Linked DNA regions of Drosophila melanogaster. The protein of the gene in region 1 purifies or fractionates together with the protein of each later gene. This does not show direct contact. Each region holds a gene or a part of one and is shown on either strand. Other genes may lie near its edges.

Region 1 (5,420 bases):
GATGCTGCGGCGCGGGTGAAAAAAGTTTTAAACTTTTACGCTGCGTGTTGCTTAAATAGATTTTCGGGCGAAAGCTCGTCCTGCCAAATTCGCTCTCTTCGCGGAAAATCTCTCTCACTGTTAAGCTAACATGTGTCCTAACCGGTTAAGCGAATTCTGTTACGGAATTTGGTTCGAGTCTGGGCTGCAGACTGTTGCATTTAATTTAAAAAAAACCTGATATAAAAAACGAAACAAATAAAATGACTTTGCCATCTCATAAAAACTATTATTCCAATTGATTAACAATACACTCTTTCAATTAAATTGCTCACGTCAGATATATAAATAATTTTATCTTAAGAAGGAGTACAGTTTTAAAGCCATTGTGCCCTGACTAAGCGCTTGAGCATTGGTTGAAAACTTGGCTAGTACCTGGATGTTCAAAAACAGAACTTTTAAAATCGAACATTTCTTTAGAATTTGTTTCTCTGTTAAATTGAAATGTTCATAAGAAGAATAAACCATAGTCTTCTGCAAAAACGTTTATGCTTTTAGATAATAATTTCCAAATTTGTTTTTTATATTTTTAATTATATATCCTTCTTTATTTACCAGTAAAAGCGCTATAAAAACTTATTTGTTAGTAAAACCGCCTCATCATTTTGTTACGCATCATTTCATATTGAATGAAAATTAAATGCAAAAAAAATCGGTCATGTCGACAGAATCCACCGAATCACAATATCATCCTTTTGCCTGTCACCTGTGCACCTTGGGTCACTCCACTGCTGCTCCTTGGCCCACTGACCCGGCTGTCAGTCAGCGAGATGACTCCAGCTGAAATTGCCCTGAAATCGCGTCCAAAAATCAATTTTCACAATTTGGAGCAACCATGTTCGTCGGCCTGGCAGAGATGGGCTGATAACTAAAGTGCAGGGCAGGAGTGCACAGGCAACTCGAAAAAAGCTTAAACACAAAGCTACATCAGTGATCCATCGCCTCGGGCGGCAGGACGATGTTGCAGCCCAGGAGACCGCGTCCACTCCACGTTTTCGGCACCAGGATGAGGTCCAACTGCTGCTCGCCGCGCTTCACTTTCAGCTGGACATTCTGGCTCTGCATGTTGCGCACCAGCTCGCCAATCTGGGCGAGATCTCCCTTGAAGTTGCCGCTATTGATGGAGCCAAAGCGGAGGATGGCATCGCCGGCACAGAGACCCTTAAATGGTAAAGATGGCCCATCTCAATGCTGTGATCTTCGCTTGTTTACTACATTCACTCACAGCTCTTTCGGCGGGCGAATCGGGACTGACCAGATTGACCACCACGATGGCGCGTGCAGGAGCAAGATCCGTGATATTAGCGCCACCGGGTGAACGGTCGCTGTCCAGGTCCAAAGCGGAGGCGCGGTTCACCAGCTCCGGATCTGTGGTGGCAATCTCGCTGTGATATTGGTTGAGCAGCGTCTGGATCTGGTTCATCAGCTCCTTGTGGTCGTTCTGCAGGCAGATGATCGTCTGTCGCGCCAGGCGCACCTGGTAAACGTCGATGTCGTTGCGCGGAAAACCCTCGGCGTCCACCAGTGGTCCACTCATGCCCACATTGTCGTTCTGGAAGGAAGATATCATTATCAATGCTATACAGCATAAACAAAAGAATGTACTCAAAATACAATTGTGTATATACCCTACACCAAAGCATAGGATAATGCTGTAATGCTTGCCCAAGTGGACATACCCTAACCAACAGTAGGGTATTGAATATATCAACATTTGGCTTGGCGGTCCGTCCAAGTTGAAGAACCTGCGATCATGAATATCCACGGTGGTGCGTCACCAACAGCTTGCCACAGTGTGCATACCCTATCCCGGATGCAGGGTATCCCCGGATGAGCAAGCGAATTTACTTACGGCGGCCAGGATCTGTCCGTTTCTGTTGATCTGCGCCTCCAGCTGCTTTTTAGCGTTAATCAGACGCTCCAGGCGCTCCTTGGTCGTCGTCCCAGCGGCCATGACTTCCACTTCGATTCGAGTTATTCCAGCGTTCGTCCCGAAAAATACAAATTTATTATTTTTCGTTAATGTTTTTTTTTTTCAGCAGCGACAGTAGCAACAACAACCAGTGCTCGTGCAGCCCTGGTTGCCCGCGACCAGTGTGACCGTATTGCGGCGAACTTACTTTGGCCAAAAACTAATTGTTAAACAATTTTTCGGAAGGGGAAAAGAACAAATTGAACGGCGAGAGTAAACACAGGAATTCACAAATTTCTATGAGAAACAGATCGCACGACGGTGAAACGAAAGGGGGGAACGCCTTTCCAGCGGACATCGCAGAATAGACGACGGGCGACGAGGGACCTCGAAAAATCGCACGGCAATCAATTCGAGTGTGTGCGAATTGATTACAAAAATAAAGGTATTTCGAGAGGTGAGCGATAAAAGCGCGTGTGTGCCTGGTGAGGATTAGGTGTAGCCATGAACTAACCAAACGTTTTGCAGCCACAGGCAACACAGGGACCACACCGTCCACTCCCATCCGCCGGAGTGGGGCTGCCACCTGCGATATGTGATCATTGGGGCTCCGCGGAGGTTTATGCAATGTTCTAGCTCTCGGCCAGTCGGAGGTAAAGCAGCCGGTGGAGCAGAAGCAGGAGGGGCAGGAGCAACAGGCCAGATGACTGTGACCACCATGGAGGCACAGGTCAAGGCAGCACACCATCATCATCTACATCATCCCACGGGCGGAGGGGCCCAGCACAAGGTGGAGGAGGAGGAGCCGGATCCTGTTGAGGACGAGATGACCGTACTGCTGGCCAATAAGAACTTTCACTATGACGTCGCCTCCGATCTGGACGACGACGCTTTTGTGGAGCTCAAAGAAGACACCGCCCAAGCGGATGATGCGGGCGCGGGCGTTGGCTTCTACAATCCGGATGAACTGCTGCTCGATGACCAGCCACATCCGCAAGTCACGTGGCTGGACGACGACGAGATCGAGACGCTCGATCGCGTGACGCTGGACATGGGTAATATGTTCTTCAATCGCGTCGACAGCCAGGACATCATCTATCAGCAGAAAAAGAAGAGCATTAAGATGGTGGGCAAGTACATAATGGGCGATGTTCTCGGCGAGGGATCGTACGGCAAGGTGAAGGAGGCCATGAACTCGGAGAACCTGTGCCGCCTGGCCGTCAAGATCCTGACTAAGCGGAAGTTGCGCCGGATTCCCAACGGCGAACAGAACGTAACGCGCGAGATCGCCTTGCTGAAGCAGCTGAAGCATCGACATGTCGTGGAGCTGGTCGATGTTTTGTACAACGAGGAGAAGCAGAAAATGTACTTGGTCATGGAGTACTGTGTCGGCGGGCTGCAGGAGATGATTGACTATCAGCCAGACAAGCGGATGCCGCTGTTTCAGGCGCACGGTTACTTCAAACAGCTAGTCGACGGCCTGGAGTACTTGCACAGCTGCCGGGTCATCCACAAGGATATCAAGCCAGGCAACCTGCTGCTCTCCCTGGATCAAACGCTGAAGATATCCGACTTCGGTGTGGCGGAGCAACTGGATCTGTTCGCACCTGACGACACATGCACGACGGGCCAAGGTTCTCCGGCCTTCCAGCCACCGGAGATTGCCAACGGACACGAGACGTTCGCCGGCTTCAAGGTGGACATCTGGTCCAGCGGAGTGACTCTGTAAGCCTTCCTTGTATAATATCATGTATTAAATGTATATACTGTACTAATCTAACGGATTTGCAGCTACAATTTGGCCACTGGACAGTATCCCTTCGAGGGCGACAATATCTACCGACTGCTGGAGAACATCGGGCGAGGTCAGTGGGAGGCGCCCGCGTGGCTATACGAAATGGACGCGGACTTTGCCAACCTGATTCTCGGCATGCTTCAGGCTGATCCCAGTAAACGCCTCTCTCTGCAGGAAATACGCCACGACACGTAAGTAGGAATATTCCTTGATTGCACTTCATGATAACTGATTGTTATAATCTGCTTTTAGTTGGTTCCGATCCGCACCGGTTAAGACCGGCCCACCGATACCCATTCCCCCCCTGAAGGGTGACAAATACCGCAACTCCACGGTGATACCTTACTTGGAAGCTTACCACTACGGCACCCAGGAGGAGGATGTCTACTTTACAGAACACGACGTAAATCGTACGTACCAACATCAATCTAATGCCGAGTGAACTACTTTCATGGTTACCTTTACAGAGGAGCTCGCCCGCCAAGCGGCAGCTGCTGCCTCCGAAATTCGGGCCAAACAGTCGGCGGCAGCCCTAGCCGCCTGCCACACCTACGAACCGCCCTCCACAAGTGCCGCAGCCGCCAGCAATTCGCTGGGCAACGGTAGCAGAGAGGAGGCGCCCGTCAAGAAGAAGGGATCGGCACTGAAGAGGCGCGCCAAGAAGCTGACGTCCTGCATCTCCGTGCGCAAGCTGAGCCACTGCCGAACTTCGTAGGCGCCTTAGATGCCTCCACTAAACATAGATGCTAAGATTTATCGAAAGGAATAACTTTGTTAACAAATTGTGAGCAACTTTTTGGTTTTGTTTTCCCGTTTTTATTCTGTTGTCCTACATTCGCCAAGTATTTGTAACCATAGAATCATGTAGGAAATTCAGGCGCAACCTCGTACCGCCCGAGCAGCAGGAGCAGCAGCGGTCGCATCAACAGCAGCAACAGCCCGCATCAGCGGAGTTGGCTGTGGAATTGGGGAGCTATGGGAGCGACACGAAAGCTATATATCCATGTGACAATACTGTGTATTATATGAAACAAATGAATGCGTAAATTAGTCGTTAATATATTATGATGTACTGAAGGCAGCCGAGGATTGCCGGAGGAGACGGTGCCCATTGGTGCGTCGCACACATAAAGAAATATGTTCAAGTGAAATTGTTTGTTGGCTTCGTTATATTCTAAACTACACACGACGAATGATGCGATTTTCAGGCGCCGTCGGTACAATAACTGCTGGACAGTATTTGCAAGGCCTAGGTTGAGATTTTAATTTTTACAAACCAATGAAACGAAAATAAAAGAACCCATTGAATATCAAAATACAAACACTGCATTTAGTTCGCACATTTCGCACATTCCAAATTCCACACTCAACACTCGCAGACGCTCCATTATTCCATGCACACACGCTCATGCTCACACTACAACATTAGGCTAGCTAACTACGTTTGCTTAATCTATTTCAACGATCTGCAGCCGGGCCGTCGGATCTGGCTCTGAGTCGCCCTCCATCAGCTCGCCCATGATGAACATCTGATGGTAGTGGGGGCCCAGGGTGGACAGCTTACGCTGCATTAGGTGGCGCAACGGGTCCACATATTGCGGCGGCACCTTGGCCAGCTGTGTATTCGTGTTGCGCCAGTGCAGCCCGTTGTTGTCCACGTGAAACAGCGCCGGC
Region 2 (4,751 bases), on another chromosome or scaffold:
TGGAGAATAACCCGGATGGCCAAAGTAATCCGGAGTCCGGCGAAGTGACGGAGCGGGAGGGCGAGCCGGTCCGGACGCGCCTGCACAAGATTCGTAAGCTGGAGAAGAAGAAGCGACGATAGATGTAGCCATCCTTAATATATACATATGTAGCTAGCCTAAGAACTCTCGAATTCATTTATTAAGATAATTGTAATAAAACCTAGTCGACAACGATTAAAGTAGAAGCCTGCACACATTTGAAAACTCCTTCATGGGATTCCTACAGCAGGCTGAGTCCTGGAATGGACTCATTTACTCATTTAGGCACACCTTGAAACGTGATTTGAAATCTCTTTTGGTTTCGGTGGCATTCCCAGCGTGTGAATCATCTCCCCAGCCCTTGATCGACGTTTTTTGGGTGAGGTTGCCGCCCTGGCACGATTTTTTGCACATGACTCAGGGGGGAGCTGCACGCCCCCTGAGAAAACCACCGCCCACAGTGGAAAAACTGCTGATTTGTTTGGCTGTTATCTTTAATTTGGGAATAATATAAATTATAATAATCGTATAGTTATTATGTTGCTTGCAATGTTGTTGTTTCTTGTTTTACTTCCCTTTTAACTATGTACGTATGCATGTGTGTAGTGTGTGTGTGTGTTGAATGCTTTCTCTCTCTTTTTCTTTCTCTTGCTCTTTCTATATATATATATCAGTGTATATATAGTAGAGTCCATGCCGAAGGATGCACAGACAATTATCACTATGAATTATTATTATTTTTATGCAGTATTTAGTTTTCGTTCTTTTCATGAATTTTGCGTGGAATTACATTTTTAAGTCAAAACTCATTGTGAATCTTCAGTTTTTTTTTTTTGGGGCGCAAAAGGGGCGTGGCAGGTCAAGGCGGTGAAGGGATATCTCGTTTCAAAAACGATCAAATTTTAAATACAACAACTAGTTAAATGGATATCGAAAAAAAGGGTCTGGAAAGGAAGGGGGATTACTTCGCGGAGGATCGACGAATGGTTAAACATATCTGTATAATAGGATAGCGGATCTCTAGGCCCAGAATGTCTAAATGTGGCTATGTTAAATTCGAAACTCTCGGTACAGTTTTATTTTTCGGCGTTACGCTATTTACTCGTACTTTTTCTTGTTTTCTAATTCGCTTTATCGTTATTTTTATCATTATCATCATCAGTGTTGTTTTTGTTGTTGTCTAAATTATTGTTTAGTTACTCACAAGTGTAGAGTCATCAGCGTCACAAAATATAGTATATAATATATATTTGCTTTAACCCACACACAAAACATGTTCACATCCTGCTAACCCACCATCGCTCTCTCTGCTTCCGTATCGATCGCTTCTGGCTTCTGGCTACGGTCCTTTTGCCCCCGGGACGCTGGAGCTGGAGTTGGAGCTGAAGTTGGAGCCGAGGTGGAGGTCCAACTAAGCCTCGGGCAGCGGCTTCAGCTCCTTTATCTGCTTGATCAGATAGGCCTTCTCGTCGTTGAACTGCTCGTCCTCGGAGCGATCCGTATGGAAGTTGGTCAGAAAGTCGACCAGCTTCGTCTGGTTGCGCAGCAGGATGTCCAGAATGGGCTTCGGCTTGTTGGGATTGGCCACGAACACCTTGAAGACGTGAAACGCCTCGAACTGAATGTTGCGCGACTTTTCCTTGAGCATGTTCATCATTAGCTTGAGGTTCTCCGGCTCGGATATGTAGCGCGTCATCACGGTGAAATTGTGCCGGTCCAGCAGCAGTTCCCCAAGCAGCTTCAAGCTCTGACGCCGCGTCACATAGTTCTCCGAGTTGAGCAGGCGCTGGTAGTGCTGCGAGAAGAACTTGTCGTAGTTGGCGTCCAGAAACTCCGCGCACAGCAGCTTATGGCGCGTGAGCAGCTCCTTGAACGTAGAAAAGGCATCGCTGGCAATGTCAAAGGTGGAAACCTCCACGTAGCGGAAGAACTTGAAGAACTCATCCGAGTGCAGCATGATCTTGGCCAGCGCCTCGTACCGGGCGCACTCCCTCAGCATGGTACCGGAGTTCAGTGCGATCTCCGGATGCGCATCTTCGTAGCCGGCCATCAGGGTGAACAGGATCTCCGGCTTCGTGCATATATACTCGACGGTGGGCGAACGGGTGCCAATCTGGCGGCGCAGCACATTATTGAAAATGAGCGCCACATGCTTCTTGCCCTCGAAATCGATGCGGTGCAGGTTCTGGATGAGCAGCAGCAGCAGGTTGCTGTTGTACAGCTCCTGGGACAGCTGGGCCACCACGTAGTCCGCCGGCGGCTCGGCATCGCTGCTACCGTACAGCATGTTCTTGATCGAGACCAGGTTCTTGCTGACGTCCTCCTGCGCCTTCTCCACCTTGCGGTCGCCCGCCTCCAGGGCGTTGATCGCCTCCTTCAGCGACTTGACCAGCTCCACTGGCGACTTCTGTGACTTCCCGAACAGTGGCATTTCGCTGTCTCACTCGCTGTTTCACTCGAAATGGGATTTGGACGTGGATTTGGATTGGGATTTGACTGCGGATGTGGTTGTCGTTGTGGTTTAGTTGGCCTGTCGATGATGCCTCGTACTTTCTGCCGATTATCCTGCTGTTCGGGGCCCTTCGGCTTTTTGGTCGTTCTGACTGTTGCCCAATTACCGACGGCAAAGACGCGGAAAACAATGCTTGGCAATATTATCACGGTGGAATATTCTATTATTATATATTATTTTTTTCTTGTCTTCTTCCAGGGATGAACAATTTCGATTGGCCGACGTTTCGATAGACGACGGCTCGATACAAGTATCGCATTGCTGGCGGGCAGTGTTGTAAAGGCTCGTTAGCTAAGCACAACACTAAAATTGAATTTTAAATTAAAAAATTACCAATCCTTTTATGGCTTTATAATATTAATATAAACATTAAAGATTCGAAAATTGTAAACTTGTTGACAAACTTTTGTTTATAGCCGTAAAATCAATATTATATAAAATTAATTACAGATTAATTTTTTGTTGCTTTTCTATAAAAGGGTAATCTGAAAAGGGAAAAAAGCATTGTCTTTGTTATTTCGCCCTAGAAAGGCGAAATAACAAATAATAATACATTGGTATTTAATACGAATATAAGTTTATAGGTTTCAAAATATAAATACCCAACGCCCAATTCATCCCGTTAGAACATGGTAGTTTGAATTCTTTAAATATCGTTTTATTTCTCATTGAAGTACTTTGTTTTTGATCCGTTTTCGTTTTAGATATTATTCTTTAGCGCTTATCAGGCGCTTGGTGTATTATAGAAGTTACAGAAATATATTTGTGTATATGCTGGCAACTTTTCGCTTTCGCCTCGCCAGCTGTGTTGGCCCATTTTTGTTTCTTTTTTGACATTTTTTTCGATTCCGGGCCAAGGAAGAGGACTTTTCGGGTTGTAGGGAAAGGCATAAGTTTATTGTATGCACATCAATATTTGTAATTATATCTGTAGGTTTGACCGCCCTGCATATTATCGCAGACTGCCCCACGCCTCACTGTCTCGATTCGTTTATTTTGAAATAAATGTTTTTCGTTTCGTTTTTGTTGTTTTTTTTTAATTTTTATGTGATTTTTGTTTACGTATAAAAGTTGTTTAAAATCTTTGAAAATATCAGATAATAATTACAGTTGGTTGTGTAATACGTCTTAAAAGCATTTCGATGCGCTTCGTTCTCGAACATAGATTAAACATAAATCAATATAGTCTTTGCCACTAAACATATCAATTTGAGTAGTAGTAGTTGTAGTTAGTTAATAATAATATCTTTGGGCTTCGCTACTGTGTATGCAATGGTTACGCCGAGCACATATAGATCATGATCATAGACATATAGTGACGTATTTGGGTGGTCCAAACCAGCCACTTCCATTATTTCAAAGAAATCAGTAATGCACTCTAGTAATTTTCCATAACGTATCCCAGCTGCGCAGCATTCGTTTATCTTTGGCAGCGCAGCCGTTCTTGTAAACATCCTAAAGCCTGACCTAAGCAGATTTGACTGCCCTCTTTCAACGCTACCTAATCTTAAGAACCCAAGAGCGAGGCTCTCCCGAAATACAAATATTGTTCAAATACTGAGGCTTCTCCTCAATCCAATTTGCATTTGATTTTTAGTCTTAAGCTGAGATCCAAAGAATAAAGTCGTGAAACTATTTCTCCTAAAAACTATTTTTTATTTCTTGGCGTTGTCCTTAGTCAACTGACGGGACATTAGTTCGACTCATAAATAAAACAACAATTTTACTGGCGCAGTCGGTAGGATACAAAAGTATCCGAAAAAAAAGAACCTTCGAGTGGAAAATAAGTTAAATTTTATAGTCCAGTGCTCGAAACATCTCCCAAAATAAATTCGTGAAAACTCTTCAACTTGGATTATAATTCCAATTCGGTTATCCAATAATAAGTGGAAGTGAAATACGAAACAAAAATATTAAGTCCAAAGGCAACTAAGTTTTAAAACCAACATATAAAAATAAAAAATTAAAACAATATAGAATTTTAATAATACAACACAAAAATTTACAAAACAAAAAAAAAAAACAAGTGAAACTAGAAAGCTTAAAAATAATAATAACATTGAATCCGAAACAAAACAAAAAAATAAAACACAAAAGTTAAAAATTTTACAATAAAAATGTCACAACCAATTATTGCGCTGAGCGACATAAACCTTGCCGAAGCCCGTCGGCAGCTTAAAGACATTATGCCATTCAAGGGTGATCCAGAAACCCTTCA

Evidence for each region.
Region 2: the proteins of Lkb1 (region 1) and Mo25 purify together in Drosophila melanogaster (affinity purification with western blotting; 2 studies listed by BioGRID, with this or other methods). This does not show direct contact.

What each region holds. Positions count from the first base shown.
Region 1 is NT_033777.3:13,674,537-13,679,956, forward strand, and holds Lkb1 (Lkb1 kinase), read left to right. Parts: upstream 1-2,012; 5' UTR 2,013-2,408; intron 2,409-2,479; 5' UTR 2,480-2,573; coding exon 2,574-3,676; intron 3,677-3,742; coding exon 3,743-3,937; intron 3,938-3,998; coding exon 3,999-4,156; intron 4,157-4,213; coding exon 4,214-4,461; 3' UTR 4,462-4,530; exon of another isoform or gene 4,531-4,604; 3' UTR 4,605-4,894; downstream 4,895-5,420. Other genes in the region: CG9588 (uncharacterized protein), read right to left, coding at 967-1,200, 1,265-1,591, 1,892-1,993; omd (oocyte maintenance defects), read right to left, coding at 5,195-5,420.
Region 2 is NT_037436.4:16,612,718-16,617,468, forward strand, and holds Mo25 (Mo25), read right to left. Parts: upstream 2,756-4,751; 5' UTR 2,453-2,755; coding exon 1,433-2,452; 3' UTR 501-1,432; downstream 1-500. Other genes in the region: CG4101 (uncharacterized protein), read left to right, coding at 1-122.